Caenorhabditis elegans: one gene and its partners. The protein of the gene in region 2 purifies or fractionates together with the protein of the main gene of each other region. This does not show direct contact. Each region holds a gene or a part of one and is shown on either strand. Other genes may lie near its edges.

Region 1 (4,440 bases), on a different chromosome or scaffold from region 2:
ACAAAAGTTATAAATACTAAACGTCGCAAAAGTTTGACATCAAACTTTAAAAATTTTCCGACAAGTGGCAAAATCAAAAATTAAAAAAAAAAGGCCAAGAAGTTAAAAAAATTTGCCGAGAAATGGCAAAAGCTTGTCTAAAACTGCAAAAGTTTGCCGAAAAGCCGCAGAAGATCGCCAAGGGGTTACAAAAGTTCAACGCCTGCGAAAAATGCGACTAAAAAGTTACAAAAGTCTGACAGAAAGTTGTAAACGTCTACCAAAAAAATTTCAAAAGTTCCATGTCCGGTTGCAAAAGTTCTAGTTTGCAAAAAAAAAGAAGCCAAAATTTGAAGGAGTTACAATACAACCTGCAATTTGGCAACTGAATTGGGCAACCTGTTCACCCAACAAATAGGGTCAGGAGTAGCTGTAGCATATAACATTTCCAGGCGCATTTTATCGATTTATTTTGCACAAAATGAGCGTCGTCTAAGTATCGGGAAGAATAGGTCAAAAGATCCAACAGGGTAATGTTTTTATTGATTGAACACGCATTTATTCCTACGTATTATAAAAAAATTAAATAGAGACATTAAGATCTTTGAGTAGATTTTCAAAGTTCAAAATAGGCTTTGAAGACGTTTGTGATTCCTGACGGTACTGAGCTTGGCTGAAAATATTGCGACTTATTAATTGGATAAAATTTCACATTCTCACCTTCCGTTCTCCTTATTCTCAGCGTCCACCTCCTCACCATATATGAACCACGGATCTTCTTCAATCATACTAATAGTCGCTCTTAACTCAGCCTGGAGAAGGATTTTTCGAAGAAGGGATATCACTTGTTGGCTCATCCGGCTCCATGCTCCTTTTCTGCCATTTCTACGGAAACTGCAGTACCGGGATTGGAAAATGTCGAAGCTGAAATTTTTAAAAGCTCGAAAAATTTCTGGAAAAAAATTTAGGGCAGCTCGAATTTTTGCAAATATTTCTGGATTTTCTTTAAATTTTTGCAATTTTCAATTTTCTCTCCCCCAGCCCTGCCTAAGCCTGAGCCTAAGCCTACGCCTAAGACTGAGCCTAAGCCTAAGCCCACCAACTTACTGGTCAGCCTGCTCCCATGGCACAGCTCCAGCTATCATGGCGATGAGCACCACTCCAGCCGACCAAATATCCACTGCTGGACCGCGATAGTCTATTCCAGTTAATACTTCAGGTGCAATGTACGGTGGGGATCCACAATACGCGTTCAGCATCTGTTCTGCTCCATTGAAACGGTGCATAGTTGCGAAGCCAAAATCCGCGATTTTTAGAATGCCTGAAAATTTTCAAAGGTCTCAGCAGTAGGCAGTCTCATTGCCTACATGCCTATGTGCCTGCCTACTGCCTGCATTTTGACGTAGCAAATGCATCTTATCTGCTGACCAATCAGCGAGCACGTTCTTTGATTGCTTGGTAGGCAAGGCTGATTGATGATTGGTTAAAAAAGACTAACCTGACTTGGTAAGGAGCAAGTTCTCTGGCTTGATGTCCCGATGAGTCACACCTTCCTCATGAATAAATCTGAGCCCATCAATTAGCTGTTTGAAATATCGATGAGCTTCATCTGAGCCCAGTCCTCCGTGTTGGTTAATTTTTTCAAAAAGGTCTCCCCCATCAGCATAGCTCAAAATCAACTGATAGTTTTCTGGATTTGTACGAATTTCGAAGAGATGGATCATATTTAAATGCCGACTTTTAGAGAGACGCTTCTGTATGGAGCACTCTCTTTTGATGCTCTCCATGAAGCACTCATCTTTCCCAACTATGGAAATTTCCTTCATTGCAAACATCTTATTAGGTGTGCCGACCTTTGCGACGAGGACAACCTCCGCAAAGGATCCTTCTCCAAGGTTCTCAATGAATTCGTAGGAATCTTTTGATTTCTTCTTGGTAGATAAAAATTGTTTGCAGGTGGACATGTTGGAAGTCATTTATTCTGAAACTTGGAACATAAATAAAGAAAAACAACGAAGACGGGGGAAAACAAGTGTGACGCATACCCAATGCATAGCAGGTGCAGATTATTTATCGACTGATGTTCTTGACAGAGGTGAACATTAATATGGCGTCATATGATGGCAGGCGGTGTATCGGGAAAAGTGGGGTCAACGATGTAATGAGAATCCATAAATAGTTGTAATAGGGCTGTAGGGTTAATGTGGATACGACAAAAGTACAGTAGGATTACGGTGGATTTGATGGGAGTACTGTAAAGTTACTGTCGCTATGGTAGGAGTACTGTAGGGTTACTGTGAATATGGCAGGAGTACTGTAGGGTTATTTCTGGATTTGTAAGAAGTACTGTAGGGTTACTGCGGATTTGGTAGAAGTACTATAGGGTTACTATTTATATTGCAGGAGTACTGTAGGATTACTGTGGGTTTGATAGGAGTACTGTAGGGTTCCTGTGAAATTGATAGGATTGCTTTAGGATTACCGTGGTTATGGCAGGAGTACTGTTAAGTTACTGTCGCTATGAGAAAAGTGCTGTAGGGTTACTGTGAATTTGGTAGAAGTACTGTAGGCTTATTGTGGGTATGGCTGGATTACTGTACCGACACTGTCAGTCTGGTAGGATTACTGTAGGGTTACTGTGGGCATGACAAAAACTGTTTGGCTACTGCGAATATGGCAAGAGTTCTGTTGGGTTACTGTGGAAATGACAGAAGTACTGCAGGGTTATTATTAATACGATAGGTAGCGTTTCTGTACGGTAGCATTACTGCAAATGTGACAGTACTGTAGGGCTACTGTTGATTTGACAAGAGTACTGTAGGGTTGCTATTAATACGAAAGGTGTACTGTAACGTTACTGCAAATGTGGAAGGAGTACTGTAGGGTTGCTGTGGATATTTTACTGTAACAGCTAGGTTTAAAATAGGACTGAAGACAACAAAACCTCTCTTTAAATGAATTTATTAAAAATGGTGTAATTTTCAATCATCAAAACTTGAAAATTCTTACTTCTAAATTTAATCTAAAAATTCAGAAAAATACAAAAAAAATCTATGGAGTAACTTCGTATTCTTCATGATAAACCAAGTGCTTATCCCCGTCCTTCTTCCAGATTTGCACGAACGTTCCCTTCATAGTTCCAGCTTTTTCCGTTTCACTGGAGAAATTCCCGCTGGTAATGAGATAGTCACCAGCTCCCTCATATTTTTGATTCGAGAATGAGCCAACGGATTTTCCGGTCGCTTCAGCGAATTTGGTGAATTCTGCTTTTAAGGCTGAAATTTTGATTGATTTTTAGTACTCTGGCTGTTGTTTTGTTTTTTAAGTTTTCGCTTGATTTTACTACTTTTCCTGTTTTCAGTTCAATTCAGAAATGAGAAGCAGACGCTAAAGACACGCAGGTCTCAGAGCAGGTCGCCTTTAAGGCAGGCAGGTATGTTTGCAACCCACCATCTTTTCCATACGTCGCTCCTTTCCCGTTTTGCACTATAACTCCATTTGGATGATAAAACGAGGCCACAGTATCCCAGTCTGCATTGTTTACCGCTTTACTATAGGCTTCAAATTGCGGTTTCAAGGCGGCTTCGGCATCTGGAAATGTGCGGGCTGTGAAAAGTTATAGTCTAAATTGATAAAAATGCGAAAAATTTTGCATTCACCAAATTTCTTATGAATATTCTTCTGTTTTGTATTTGCAGAAACTTTTCAAATGGATGAAATCCTTGAGAATAAAATCCTTGAGAAAACGAAAATAAGAAATTTATCAGCAGCCGACATCAATCGAGGCCGCTAAATTATTTATGTCGCTTATCAATTTTAGTAGAAAGGTGTTAAGTGAAAGTTCTCTAGGAAATTGAAAAATTAGCTGAAACGATGAGAAGTGCCCTAAAAGTGAAAAAAAACTTTGGCGGGAGATTCAAATTTTCTGAGAAAAACATCTTGGCGGGAAATTCAGAATTTTCTAGAATAACTGAAAAGTGTTAGAACTTTCTAGAGAAATCTGAAAACTTCTAGCACGTTTTTAAAGAAAAACTGGAAACTTTTAGAACTTTCTAAACAATTTAGAAAGTCCTCGAATTTTCTAGAAAAATTGAAAACTCATAAAAATTTCTAGAAAACCTGAACACCTGGTATATAACAGTTTTCAACACTAAACGAGACTCTCACCTCCAGCAGTATAGGACATCCTTTTCGAAACCACTCCAGAAAATCAAAAGTCCAAGAGGAAGAGTTTGTGCAATCTATCCCTCCTCCATCTCTTATATACCGGCACCATTGTGTATCACAAAAAGCACAAGGTACACTAGAGTCTCGTCAAAAATTTTGTTAAAACAATAATATCTGCTTCTCCGTAAAGCACATTTTTTGAAAGACACAAAACACACATCGAGTCAGGTGGGAGTTCACAATGGGAGGAACAGTTTGAAATTGGAAATTTCAAAAACGAAATTGGCACAGTAA
Region 2 (8,384 bases):
ACTTATTTTGAAGCTCTCGGTGAGTCGAAGTTCAAAATTACTGAAAGTTGGGTCCCGCCACGAAAACTCCCGGGTTACTGTACTTTTCGTGGAAGGACCCAAATTAGACCAAAATATGTCATGATTATACTTAATTTGAAGCTCTCGGCGTTCGGAATTCAAATTTTTGACTCAATTTCTCTGAAATTTCCTTGAAAATTCAATTTTCCGTGTATTTTACCTGTCTCAACGTCTCGCCATCGCGATGCTTCATTTGTGGAAGAATCCACGGTGAACTATAACCCTTTTCTCCCAATTTCTGCTTTACAATGAGCACAAGCTTCCTCTGCAACTCGCGTTCCACACTTTTCAGCTCATTTTTCGGCGGGAATTCGCCGAATTTGAATTTCTTATCCAAATCCTCAGCGGCTTTTTTCCAATCGTCCTCACGAACGGCATTTGTAACTCCAATTTCTTCGTCGAGCTCCGAGAGCTCTTTTCCGTCGGCAATTAGTTGAGCACGGCGGGCTACCATTCTGGAAATTAGGGAGTTTTTTTGCGATTTTGGGTGAAAATTTGAGGTTTTTAAGCTGAAAATTGACTGAAAATCCGGTTTTTTGAGGTTTTTACAGTCAAAAAAACCGGTTTTTCACAAAAAAAATTAAATTTTCAACGTTTTTGTATAAAAAGGCATTTTGCTGAGAAAAATGTGGATTTTTGAGCTTAAAATTTTTTTTTGTCAAAATTTTTAAATTTTTTGGAAAAATATTCATTTTTCGTAATTTTTATCATTTTTTTTCGAATTGAAAACTTGAATTTCACGCTAAACAACAACATTTTGGCGGGAATTTGAATTTTCAACAAAAAAAAATCAATTTTTTTTCAATATTTTGATGAAAAATTCTAAAATTTTGAGATTTTACCGGAAAAAAATAGAAATTACCAATAAAAGTCACACATTTTTAGTTAAAATTCGACAAAAAATTCAAATTCCCGCAAGATCTCCTCAGCGATAAACAACACGCCGCGGAATACCGGAGTGTCGTTTGAAACTCAAAATCACGGCGCGGGAAATTTGATTTTTTCGCGTTTTACGATTGATTTTGCGTCGAAAATGGCAATTTTCACCCAAATTTTACAGAAAAGTCCAGAAAATGTGACTTTTATGGAAATTTTCAGAATTTTCAGCAAAAAATTGCTAATTTTCGCGTTTTTTAAACGAAAATTGCTCAAAAAAAGGTGCTTTCACATTTTTCGCTTATTTTTTAAAGAAAAAATATCAAATTTTTTATTTTTTTAATCGAAAAAAATCTGAAATTCGCAGAAAAATCGAGATTTTTTTGCTCAAAATTTCCAAATAATCCTGCTCCATACTTCTCATCCTGTTTCGTTTTGAGCTCATAATTACACATTAGGCTCTTTTCTTGCTCTTCAGCCATTTGAAGTCGATGAAATCTTGATTCGACTTCCGACATTGGTGGAGCTACGACAGGAGCTCTCGACAACACAACTGACGCGAAAATTTCCCATTTTTGAGGTGAAGCCGACGCCGCTGAAAGTCGACGGAGAACAGATAGATGCATCTGAAACTTGGGCTTTGTTGGATTTGGCTCATCGAGAGCTTCATAATGAGTATAATCACGACCTAGTTTGTTCGAAATTGAAAAAAGTTGGGTCTCGCCACGAAAACTGCTGTAATTTTCGTGGCGAGACCCATTTTCTTCGAAATTGAACCAACTAGGTCATGATTATACTTATATTGAAGCTCTCGGCAAGCAGATTTTAAATTTCATGAGTGAATTCTCAAAAAATTGGAAAAATGCATTGTTCATTCAATTTTCAACTGGAAAAATGCCAAATTTACTAGAACTTCTTAGATTTTCGATTTTTTTTTCGTAAAATTTGGCTGAAAATCGGTTTCAGCTCAGCGAGAGCTTTAAAATAAGTATAATCAAGACCCACTTTGCTCTGAGTTGGGTCTCGTCACGAAAACCACCGGGTTACTGTAGTTTTCGTGGAGGGACCTGATTTTGTTCAAATTCCAGCAAAGTAGGCCATGATTATACTTAAATCAAAGCTCTCAGGGAGCCGGAGCTGAAAAAAAGCTGAAAATAACAAAAAAATATTGAATTTCCCAAAAAAATACTGTTATTTATGGAAATACTTTTTTTTTTGGAAATAAAATTCAAAATTTGAGTTATTTTCAGCTTTTTCCAGCTCCAGCTCACTGAGAGCTTTAAAATAAGTATAATCATGGCCTACTTTGCTGGAAATTACAAAAAAATTGGGTCTCGCCACGAAACCCCTCGGGATTACTGTAGTTTTCGTGGCGGGACCCAACGTTTCGTTCAAATTTTAGCAAAATAGGTCATGATTATAGTCAAATTGAAGCTCTCGTTGAGCTGGATCTGAAAATAAGCATTAAAAGGTAAAAAATTCGGCAAAAACCGAAAAAAAAACACACAAAAATTTGGGAAAAATGCGATAAAAACTTTATTAAAAACCGGTGTAAAATTACACATTGAAAAAGCTCAAAAAATCCTGAAATTAAAATAAATAATAGCGACACATCTAGAAATACAATTATTCGAGAAAGTATAGGAAAAATGGGAGAAATTGAGAGAAAAATCGGGAAAATCGATGAAAAGTTGAAAATTTCTGCAAAAATTTTTAAAAAATTGTGCAATTTTTGACATTTTTGCATCAAAAAATCACGTTTTTTTTTTGTAAAATTCAGCATTTTTGCGCAAAAATGCGCTTAAAAATCGTTAAAAACTCCGAAATCTCTTGAAAAATCAAGTTTCACACAGTTTTTGAATTTTTTTTTCACAAATTTTCATCAAAATGTGTTCAAAATATTTCTGAAAAGTCGATTTTTAAATCAAAAATCGCAGAAAATTTGTGAAAAATTCAAGTTTTTCGAGAATTACGATTTTTCACTAATTTTTTTTTCTGAATTTCGGGCCGAAATTGCCAGAAATCCAAAAATCCAAGAAAATTCAATTTTCACTCGTTTTTCGTCGAATTTTCGCGATTTTTCACTCAATGTCCCGCCGAATTTCTCCCTTTTCTCCCAAAATTTATTCGCCCTTATAAATAGGATCTCTCTTCTCAGCAAAAGCCGCCATTCCCTCTAATCGATCTTTTGAATGTACAATTTGTGCATAACATTGTTGCTCAACACTCAAAGCACTGGTAATATCAGTCTGAGAGCCCAAATTAATTGCCAATTTGGCCAATTTCACAGCAATCGGGCCTCTTGGAATGATTTTTCGTGCGATTTCCAGTGATTTTTCGATTGGATTGGCTTCAACGACGTGATTAACGACTCCAAGCTTGGCAGCATCGGCTCCGTTGAGCACTTCAGCTGTGTAGATGAGCTCTTTGGCTTTTGCGACTCCGACAATACGGTAGAGACGTTGAGAACCTCCGGCGCCGGGAATTAGAGCCCATTTTGTTTCGACTAGGCCCATTTTGGCTTTTTGAGCTGAAAAAATGGATAAATTTAGAGCAAAACTTAGGTTTTTTTACTCAACATGAAGATTTTTTGAAATTTTTGCCTGAAAAAAAGGATTTCTAAGTCAAAAAATGGAAAATTTCACGATTTTTGAGCTGAAAAATTAAAATTTTCGTATTTTTTGTGTTGAAAAAATGCAATTTTCTATGAAACGAAAATGAGTTTTTTACTCAAAATAGACCCATTTTGGCTTTTTGAGCTGGAAAAAATGGGAAAATTGGAGCAAAACTTTGGTTTTTTGACTCAAAATGGAGATTTTCAAGTATTTTTTACTTAAAAATTGGATTTTTAAGTCAAAAAATGGCAATTTTCACGATTTTTGTGATGAAAAACCGAAATTTTCGTAGTTTTTGGGAAAAAAGGTAAATTTCTATGAAAAGCTAAAACTAAAAAATTCGAATTTTTACGTTTTTTAACATGAAAATTAGGGCAAAAATGAGTTTTTCACTCAATATAGACTTATTTTGGCTTTTTGTGCTGAAAAAATGGGAAAATTAATGCAAAATCGAAGAAAAATAAGTTTTGAGCTGAAAAATCCTAATTTTTACGTTTTTTACATGAAAATTAGAGCATTTTGCGCAAAAAATGCAGGTTTTTAGGCATTTTTGCGCAAAAATTGAGAAATGAGAGAAAAAAGAGTTTTTTACTTAAAAATAATTGAAAGTTTTAGATTCTTATGCTTTTTTTTTGCTGAAAATGGAGTCAAAATGGTTCAAATTTTTCAGATTTTTAGGCTAAAAATTGGGAATTTTCGGAATAAAATTCTTTTTTTTTTGTCTTTTGCGCTGAAAAAATGGGGAAATTAATGCAAAACTGAAAAAAAAAGTTTCGAGCTGAAAAGTTTTACGCTTTTTCTACATGAAAATTAAGTTTTTCGGCATTTTTTGGTTGAAAATTGGATTTTCCAGCAGAAAAAATGGGAAAATTAGAGCAAAAATGAGGTTCTTTGACCCAAATTGGTGGAAATTTTGAGATTTTTGCTGAGTTGTTGAGCATTTTCTGCTGAAAAGGATCTTTTAAGAAGCTTTTAAGAGCATTTTTGCCGAAAATAGAAGTTTCACGTTAAAACTTGTAATTTTTGAATTAAAATTGAATTTTTAGACAAAATTTGGCATTTTACAAGTGGAAAAGTCAGGAAATTACGTATTTTCTCGAATTTTGAACTAAATTTGACGTTTTCAAAAATTTTTTTTTTTAGTGTTTCCCCAGGGAAAATTATTTTCACTAACAAGCAACACGAATATCACAAGCCAGTGCCAACTCCAATCCACCTCCCAGTGCAAATCCGTCGATTGCGGCGATAACTGGCTGTGGAAGGCGTTCTACCTGAAAATTTCGACGTTTTCAGGGGAAAAAACCGCAAATTTCTCGATTTTTTGACTGAAAATCGATTAATTCAAGTTATTTACATCAGTAAACGAGTCACGGAGCCCATTGACAAATCTGGTGGCCTCCTGCTGGCTCATAGTCTTGCGTTCTTTCAAATCCGCACCACTACAGAACACATTATCGCATTTCGAGTTGAGAATCACCACACGTGTCTTTGGATCGTACTTGAGCTCGTCGAGCACCTCACGGAACTGGAAATGTAATTTTTTGCGGCAAAACTCTGCGAAAACTGCCTACCTGGTCCATAAAAACTCGTCCCAAGGAGTTTTTCTTCGCCGGACGGTTCATGTTGAGAATTGTGATTCCTGGAAGCAAAATTTTTAATAAAAATTATCAAAAAGGCTGCGCACCTTCATCTTTTCCAGTCAATCTTTCGATGAAAACCTCGTTAGCCGGGTTTGTGGTGGTGCTGTAGGCCAGTGGGTGAAAGGCGAAGGCACGGAGGTTGAGAAGAATCTTTTGAGACAACATTCTGCAAAAAAATCATTAAAAAAATTGTGAAAATTCGACAAGAAATAGTGGAAAAATGGTTAAAAACGCGCAAAAATTCATTAAATAAATGTTTGTCCGAGAGGAGTATGTGTAGATAGAGCGCGTTTGCATTACGATGCAAAAAATTTTATTAGAAAGAAATCTGCGAGATTTTCCAAGATGATTTCAGTAAAATTTTGTTTAAAATGTGGATTTAAATCAATTTATCAAAATAAAATTTAATATAAAAATAGGCGACTTGGAAATACTTTTATTTTCACTTCTAAGCTGCAGGAAAAACTATAGACTTGCATTCTCCAATTTTCAGTTTCCCTGGCATTCTGTGGTGTCTCTTTGGAATATTTCCTATTTTTAAAATTATTTTTTTCTCAAAATCAGTTTTTTTCCGTTTTTCTTAATTTTTCCTTTAAATTTTTTCAAATTTTTTGACTTTTCAGGTAATGACACCGCTCAGCAAACTTTGTGCAGGTGCAGTCACGCAAAATGTGCTGAAAAGGTAACTTTTCGGCAATTTTTAGAGAAAAATAATGAAAAATCTTCCAGCTACTTCCTAACACCATCCCAATTTCGCAGCTTCTCCCGAACGATCACAGCACTTGAAAAATCACAGAAATCACCCTCAAAACAGGAACATGCGCTCCAGAGATCGATTTTGGAGGAAGTTTTGGTGCATGAGAAGGCGAAACCGACGACATTTGGCGGAAAAGTCGCTGAAAAGGCGTCGAACACGTTTATGTACACGGCAGTTGTCGCTGGAATCGGTCTAATTGGTGCATTTATCTATGTGCTCGCCGGGGAATTTTTCGCTCAAGATTCCCCGCAGACAATTTTCAATAAGTTGGTTTTTCACTTTTTTCCGGGAAAAACCAATTTAAATCAAATATTTTTTGCAGAGCTCTCGCATTGGTACGTGATGATGGCCGTTGTCAGGAAATATTCGGCGCCTCAATCGCCGGATTCGGCGAGGAAACGTCACGTGGACGCCGCCGCCACGTGGCACATCACAAGTACGAGAAGGACGGAATGCAGCGGATTCGGGTGCTTTTCCACGTGAAAGGAGACCGAGATGAGGGAATTGCTCAAGCTGAAATGGAGCAACGAGACGGAGATTGGCAGTGGCGGTTCTTGTATGTGGAGAACAAGCGGCGACCGAAAACTACCCATGTTTTGATTGATAATCGATAATTTCTTGTTTTCTGGTGATTGTTATGTTTAAATAGGGTTTTTTGTTGAATAAATTGCATCTAGATTTATTATTTTGTTAAAAAAAATAGCTTAAACATCGATTTTTATTCGAAAATTACTTTTTTTTCAAAAAAAATCTGGAAAGTGTGCAATCTGACGTGATGGTGTGTCTGCGTACCCGGCGCCAAACTTGACGCACAAACTTTCGAAATATTTTTTTTTTCGATTTTAAAAACGTTTTTAGCGAAAAAGCGATAAAAACAGGATTTCTTAAGCAATTTTCGGGAAATTTACCAATTTTGATTGCTGAAATATCGATTTTCAATCGAAAATTTTCGAATTTTCACACAAAAACTTTAAAAAAACCTATATTTTGTGTATTTCAGACATCAAATTTGGGCCAGAAAGCAGATGCCGAAGAACAAGAAAAACAATAAAAAACGTGCACCAGCCAGGTATTTTGATAGCATTTTTCCCAATTTTCATTGAAAAATCATTAAAAATTTTTTATTTTTCAGCAATTTTTTCTCAAAAAATCAGAAATCGCGCTTTTTTTAGTGCTCCAAAGCCGGCTCCTCCAAGCGCACCACCTCGCCTACTTCAACTGGCTTCTTCCAATGGAGAGGTGCTGCAGGCAGATATCCGTGCTCTCCAGCTCTCCAGCACTATTTCTACAACTATCAAAGAGCTAGGATATGATAAAGAAGACTGTGCGGAGATTAAGCCGATACCTGTTGATGAACATGAATACACATTGGATCTACTGATTAAATGGTGTGATCAACACAAGGGAGACGATCCAGAGATTGCAAAAGCCGAAAAAGGCAAAAAGAAAGTCGTCATTCCGTCCTGGGATCAACATTTTTTCAGTGTACTGCCGATGGGAAACTTGCTAGCTGTTATTAAAGCTGCCTATGATTTGGATATTACCGGACTCGTGAATTATGGAACCCAAACAGTCGCCAGTCGTATCAATGGGAAAAGCGCCGAGGAAATGCGAGAAATTTTCCAACTTCCTGAGCCGTGCCAGCAGCCGTCTACATCCACTGATACTTGGGCAGATTGATCGATTTTCCATTTCAAATTTATTCAATTTCACATAAAGCCGGTCTTATTGCAAAAGATTTTTTTCTATTTAGTGCTGTATATCGTTAAAATTTCATTGCGTCAATAAAAGTTCTATTTTAAAATATTCTTCAGCTCATACTAAGTCCGATCCAGTGTTTCGGTGTTATTTTTGAATTTTTTTTTATCGAAAAATCGTTGAGATTTAGATTTTCCAGTAATTTTACGTTAGAATCGTGAAAACTTCCAATTTTTATAGACATGATAGCGATTTTTAATCGAAAATTCCCCATTTTTGAAGAATTCTTTCTCAAAATGTGCAATCTGACGTGATGGTGTGTCTGCGTACCCGGCGACAGACTTGACGCGCAAACTTTTGAAATATCAGGTTTTTTACCGATTGTAATGGAAAAATCGATAAAAACGGGTGTTTTTCAGCATTTTTTCGTAAGAAATCGATAAAATTTAGATTTTCAGAAATGTCAGAACACGTAAAACGTCCTACGGCGACGGAAACCGACGATGATCTGCTCAAAATGCAGGAAGAATGGGAGGCGGCGAACAAAAAACCGAGTGTCGAGATTCATAAGATGAAAAATCGGCAGAAAGTCGAGGAAGTTGCTTCATTGCCGTCGAAAGTCGTCCGCGATCAGGCCGCCCGTTTTCAAATCGATTTTGATGAGGAGCAGGCCGCTTCCGGCGTGCTTTTCCCAGTTAAAGAGCGAAATTTCGCGGAAAGATCGGAGATTTTGGCGGA
Region 3 (3,965 bases), on a different chromosome or scaffold from region 2:
GAAGGAGGCTGTCGATTCGTTTATCAAGGCCGATGATCCAGGAGCGTACATGGAGGTTGTGAACAAATGTTCTCAAACGGAGCACTGGGAAGATCTTGTTCGTTACCTTCAAATGGCTCGCAAGAAGAGTCGTGAGTCATACATCGAAACGGAACTCGTTTTTGCTCTGGCCAAGACTGGTCGTCTCACTGAACTTGAAGAGTTTATCGCTGGACCAAATCACGCTCAAATCGGACAAATTGGAGATCGTTGCTTTGACAATGGAATGTTCGATTCCGCTAAGATCCTTTTCAACAATGTTTCCAACTTCGCCAAACTTTCCGTTACTCTTGTTCGTCTTGGAGAATATCAAGGAGCTGTCGATGCTGCACGCAAAGCCAACAGCACGAAGACATGGAAACAAGTGTGCTTCTCTTGTGTCGAGAATGGAGAGTTCCGGCTTGCCCAGATGTGTGGACTTCACATCGTTGTCCACGCTGATGAGCTTGAGGAATTGATCAACTTCTACCAAGATCGTGGACATTTCGAAGAGCTCATTGCTCTTCTCGAAGCTGCATTGGGTCTTGAACGGGCTCACATGGGAATGTTCACCGAACTCGCGATTTTGTACTCGAAGTATAAGCCAGAGAAGATGCGTGAGCATTTGGAATTGTTCTGGAGCCGTGTTAATATTCCAAAAGTTCTTCGTGCTGCCGAGCAGGCTCATCTTTGGTCCGAGTTGGTGTTCTTGTACGATAAATACGAAGAATATGATAACGCCGCACTGACAATGATGCAGCATCCAACTGAATCTTGGAGAGAGCAACATTTCAAGGAAGTCATCGCTAAAGTCGCTAATGTTGAGCTATACTACAAAGCAATGCAGTTCTACCTGGATTATAAGCCACTTCTCCTGAATGACCTTCTTACTGTGCTATCGCCTCGGTTGGATCATTCGCGCACAGTTTTGTTCTTCAATAAGCGTAAGTTTAAATTTCGTTTAGTTTTTAAACTTTTAATAACAATAATTTTCAGTGAAGCAAATCCCACTGGTCAAGCCTTACTTGAGACAAGTTCAAAACTTGAACAACAAGGCTATCAACGAGGCTTTGAATCAGTTGCTCATTGATGAGGAGGATCACGCCGGGCTTCGTTCTTCTATTGAGGCTCAAGACAACTTTGACAATATCACTTTGGCCCAACAACTTGAGAAGCACCCACTTGTGGAATTCAGAAGAATTTCCGCATACTTGTTCAAGGGAAACAACAGATGGAAGCAATCGATCGAGCTTTGCAAAAAAGACAAGCTGTACAAGGATGCCATGGAATACGCTGCAGAATCGAGAAACGGAGAACTCGCCGAAGAGCTCTTGTCATTCTTCCTGGATGAGAAACTTTATGATTGTTTTGCCGCCTCCCTTTACCATTGTTATGATCTCCTTCACCCCGATGTCATCATGGAGCTCGCTTGGAAGCATAAGATTATGGATTACGCCATGCCTTACATGATCCAAGTTATGAGAGATTATCAGACGAGACTTGAGAAGTTGGAGCGTTCTGAGCATGAGAGGAAAGAGGAGAAGGCTGAGCAGCAACAAAACAATGGAATGACCAGTGAGTTTTAACAAATATTTAGAATTTAAATTTATTTGATATTTTCAGTGGAACCACAACTTATGCTTACCTATGGTGCCCCTGCCCCACAAATGACTTATCCAGGAACAACTGGTGGCTATGGCGGACAGCCTGCTTACGGTCAACCTGGACAACCAGGATATAATGCCCCTGGATTTATGTAATTCGATAGTTTTATCCCCATTTTCTTACCCCCACCCCCTCACTTTCTCCCCGCATCAATAATTATATTGTAATTTATTGCTTGATGTCTATACACTTTTTTTGTTTAAATTATGATATTCTATTTCTATTTATTCCGTCCCCTATGAAATTGTGATGGTTGTATTCTAATCCGTGAACTTATCCTTAAGGTTGTTGGTCCGATGTGTCGTCTCTCTCAGTTCTGCCCGTTTTCAAAAAAAAGTTGATCACAACTCTTTTAAACCACCAGAACCATCATGAATAAATTAATTCGTTGTTACCAATCGCGTTCGAGTTTCGGATGAAATACTGGTTCAGTCCATCATCATAACATTTTAGTTTTACGATTTTAACTTTTTGTATTATTCACTAGCTGAATTTTTTAAATTGAGATCTAGAATAAGCCATTTTCAGGCCGTATAATGTCTACTAAGCCCGCCGCCGCGAAGACGAAGCCATCGTGTAGTGAAGGTGGTGATCTACGTGTTGAGACTGAAAATGGTTCGTAGATTAAAAAATTCCACCGCGAAGTTTTGTATAAATTTAATTATTTTGAAGGTGAAACATTCATCACAGCAACACAAAGAGCCGACGGAACTTGGAGAAAAGCGAGACGAGTGAAAGGAGGGTCAGTAATCTGGCGATACTGGGAATATAATACCGCTTGTCGATTTACGAAGAATTTTGTACTAGACGTGACAGAAATTTCGATTTTTCGGCTGTTTTTGCTGATTTTTAGGCGAAATTTTGAAAGAAATATCGTAGTTTTTCCGGGGAATTTCATAATTTTCTCACAAAAAGTTGTATATTTTACCGTTGTGTTGTTCGTTAAATTATTCCTAATTTAATTATTTTGAATTAAAAAGATTGTACAATTGAAGCCAAATCTGTAAAACAATGCGAAATTGCCACTTGTCCACGTGTAGTACAAGATTTCTCGTAAATCGACATGCATAAATCCGCGTCGCAACTTTCAAGATCTTTTCTCCGCTTTTTTAGTTGTATTTCATAGAAATCTTAACAAAGATCAAAAAAAATTAATTTTCGGGGAAAAAAGGACACTGTAAAAAAATTAATTTTTCTCGCGGCGAGACCCAAAATCTGTGCGCCTTTAAGTACGCCTTTCAAGTACATAAAAATACAAATTTCAGATATATTCCTCAAGATGAACAACCAAAATATCAAAATAAAATGCAGCTGGAAGCGACAAACGGCCGAAGTTCTGTTCCAGCAGGAGTGAATCCACGTGCAATGGCTTCTGGTTCATCCCGTAAGCCTGTCAGTGGTGAGTCTTAAATATAATAAATTATACATATTTGTATAATATTTTCTCCATTTTTTCAGCCATCAAAGCTAACGTATGCATCACACCACAGGATCATTTCCAAAAGAAAATCGATTTGACGAAAAAGAAGATTGAGGATATTGAAGGAATGGAATCGAGAATCGCTAGCGGGGAGCTTGTTCCTCAACCGAATCAAGTGAAGAAGATCGCACGAAAGCAGGAGTATTTGGATGAAATTGAAAAGTTGACGCTAGAAATGAAGAAGTTGTGAAGGAGATTGCAACGATTAAATATAGATTCTACCTCTCTGTTTCATTTCATGTGCGATAGTTTCAGATAATTATTTATTTTATATTTTGTATTTTATGAACGGGTTCGATACTTGTCTTTTTTCGGTTGGAATGTACAAAAATACACAGAATACACGAATTGATTAATGGCTAGCAGGGTTTGCTTGATTTGGTGGAAGTGGAGGGTTTTTGGCTTCTGAAAAAAATAAATTAATACATTTTGATAATTTCAAAAGAACAAACCATAGGCTCTGCGCAATGTTTCCGTGATAATCTTCATATCGTTCTCAATCGTTTTCGACCAATTTTCGACATCGCCAATTTCCTTGAGAGCATAATTTAGGCCTTCGGTAATGAAAAGCCATTGTTCAGTTTGTTTCGCAAGAGCTGCTGAATTGTTTTCGAATCGTTTCGCTTCAACGTCCAGGCGTTTTTGGTTTCCGTAGGCTTGAGCGACTCTGAAATTTATTTATTGACCGATTTTGCGATGTTTGCTCAAAAAAGACGGTATCAGGTCTCGAGACGACAGAAGAGTACTGTATTTTCAAACTTTGTTGCTGTGTTATTCATTTTTTAATAAATATATATACTTT

Evidence for each region. Proteins that work in one complex are often made in the same cells at the same time.
Region 1: the proteins of ech-5 (region 2) and txt-2 fractionate together in Caenorhabditis elegans (co-fractionation; one large-scale study listed by BioGRID). This does not show direct contact.
Region 3: the proteins of ech-5 (region 2) and T20G5.9 fractionate together in Caenorhabditis elegans (co-fractionation; one large-scale study listed by BioGRID). This does not show direct contact.

The regions. Positions count from the first base shown.
Region 1 is NC_003283.11:238,402-242,841, forward strand, and holds txt-2 (non-specific serine/threonine protein kinase), read right to left. Parts: upstream 2,100-4,440; 5' UTR 2,025-2,099; intron 1,961-2,024; 5' UTR 1,956-1,960; coding exon 1,478-1,955; intron 1,301-1,477; coding exon 1,087-1,300; intron 904-1,086; coding exon 700-903; intron 653-699; coding exon 562-652; 3' UTR 501-561; downstream 1-500. Other genes in the region: R02C2.7 (DUF4440 domain-containing protein), read right to left, coding at 3,031-3,254, 3,430-3,570, 4,147-4,165.
Region 2 is NC_003282.8:793,996-802,379, reverse strand, and holds ech-5 (Enoyl-CoA hydratase, mitochondrial), read right to left. Parts: upstream 5,358-8,384; 5' UTR 5,357-5,357; coding exon 5,236-5,356; intron 5,191-5,235; coding exon 5,123-5,190; intron 5,077-5,122; coding exon 4,906-5,076; intron 4,823-4,905; coding exon 4,726-4,822; intron 3,467-4,725; coding exon 3,060-3,466; 3' UTR 2,460-3,059; downstream 1-2,459. Other genes in the region: mrpl-46 (Large ribosomal subunit protein mL46), read right to left, coding at 221-515, 1,354-1,562; F56B3.11 (Mitochondrial import inner membrane translocase subunit Tim21), read left to right, coding at 5,818-5,873, 5,921-6,214, 6,271-6,562; skr-18 (Skp1-related protein), read left to right, coding at 6,974-7,017, 7,121-7,628; F56B3.4 (RNA polymerase II-associated protein 1 N-terminal domain-containing protein), read left to right, coding at 8,107-8,384.
Region 3 is NC_003281.10:10,207,629-10,211,593, forward strand, and holds T20G5.9 (Partner of Y14 and mago), read left to right. Parts: upstream 1-2,211; 5' UTR 2,212-2,219; coding exon 2,220-2,298; intron 2,299-2,355; coding exon 2,356-2,425; intron 2,426-2,948; coding exon 2,949-3,082; intron 3,083-3,141; coding exon 3,142-3,353; 3' UTR 3,354-3,465; downstream 3,466-3,965. Other genes in the region: chc-1 (putative clathrin heavy chain 1), read left to right, coding at 1-962, 1,015-1,593, 1,642-1,778; blos-1 (Biogenesis of lysosome-related organelles complex 1 subunit 1), read right to left, coding at 3,516-3,568, 3,616-3,830.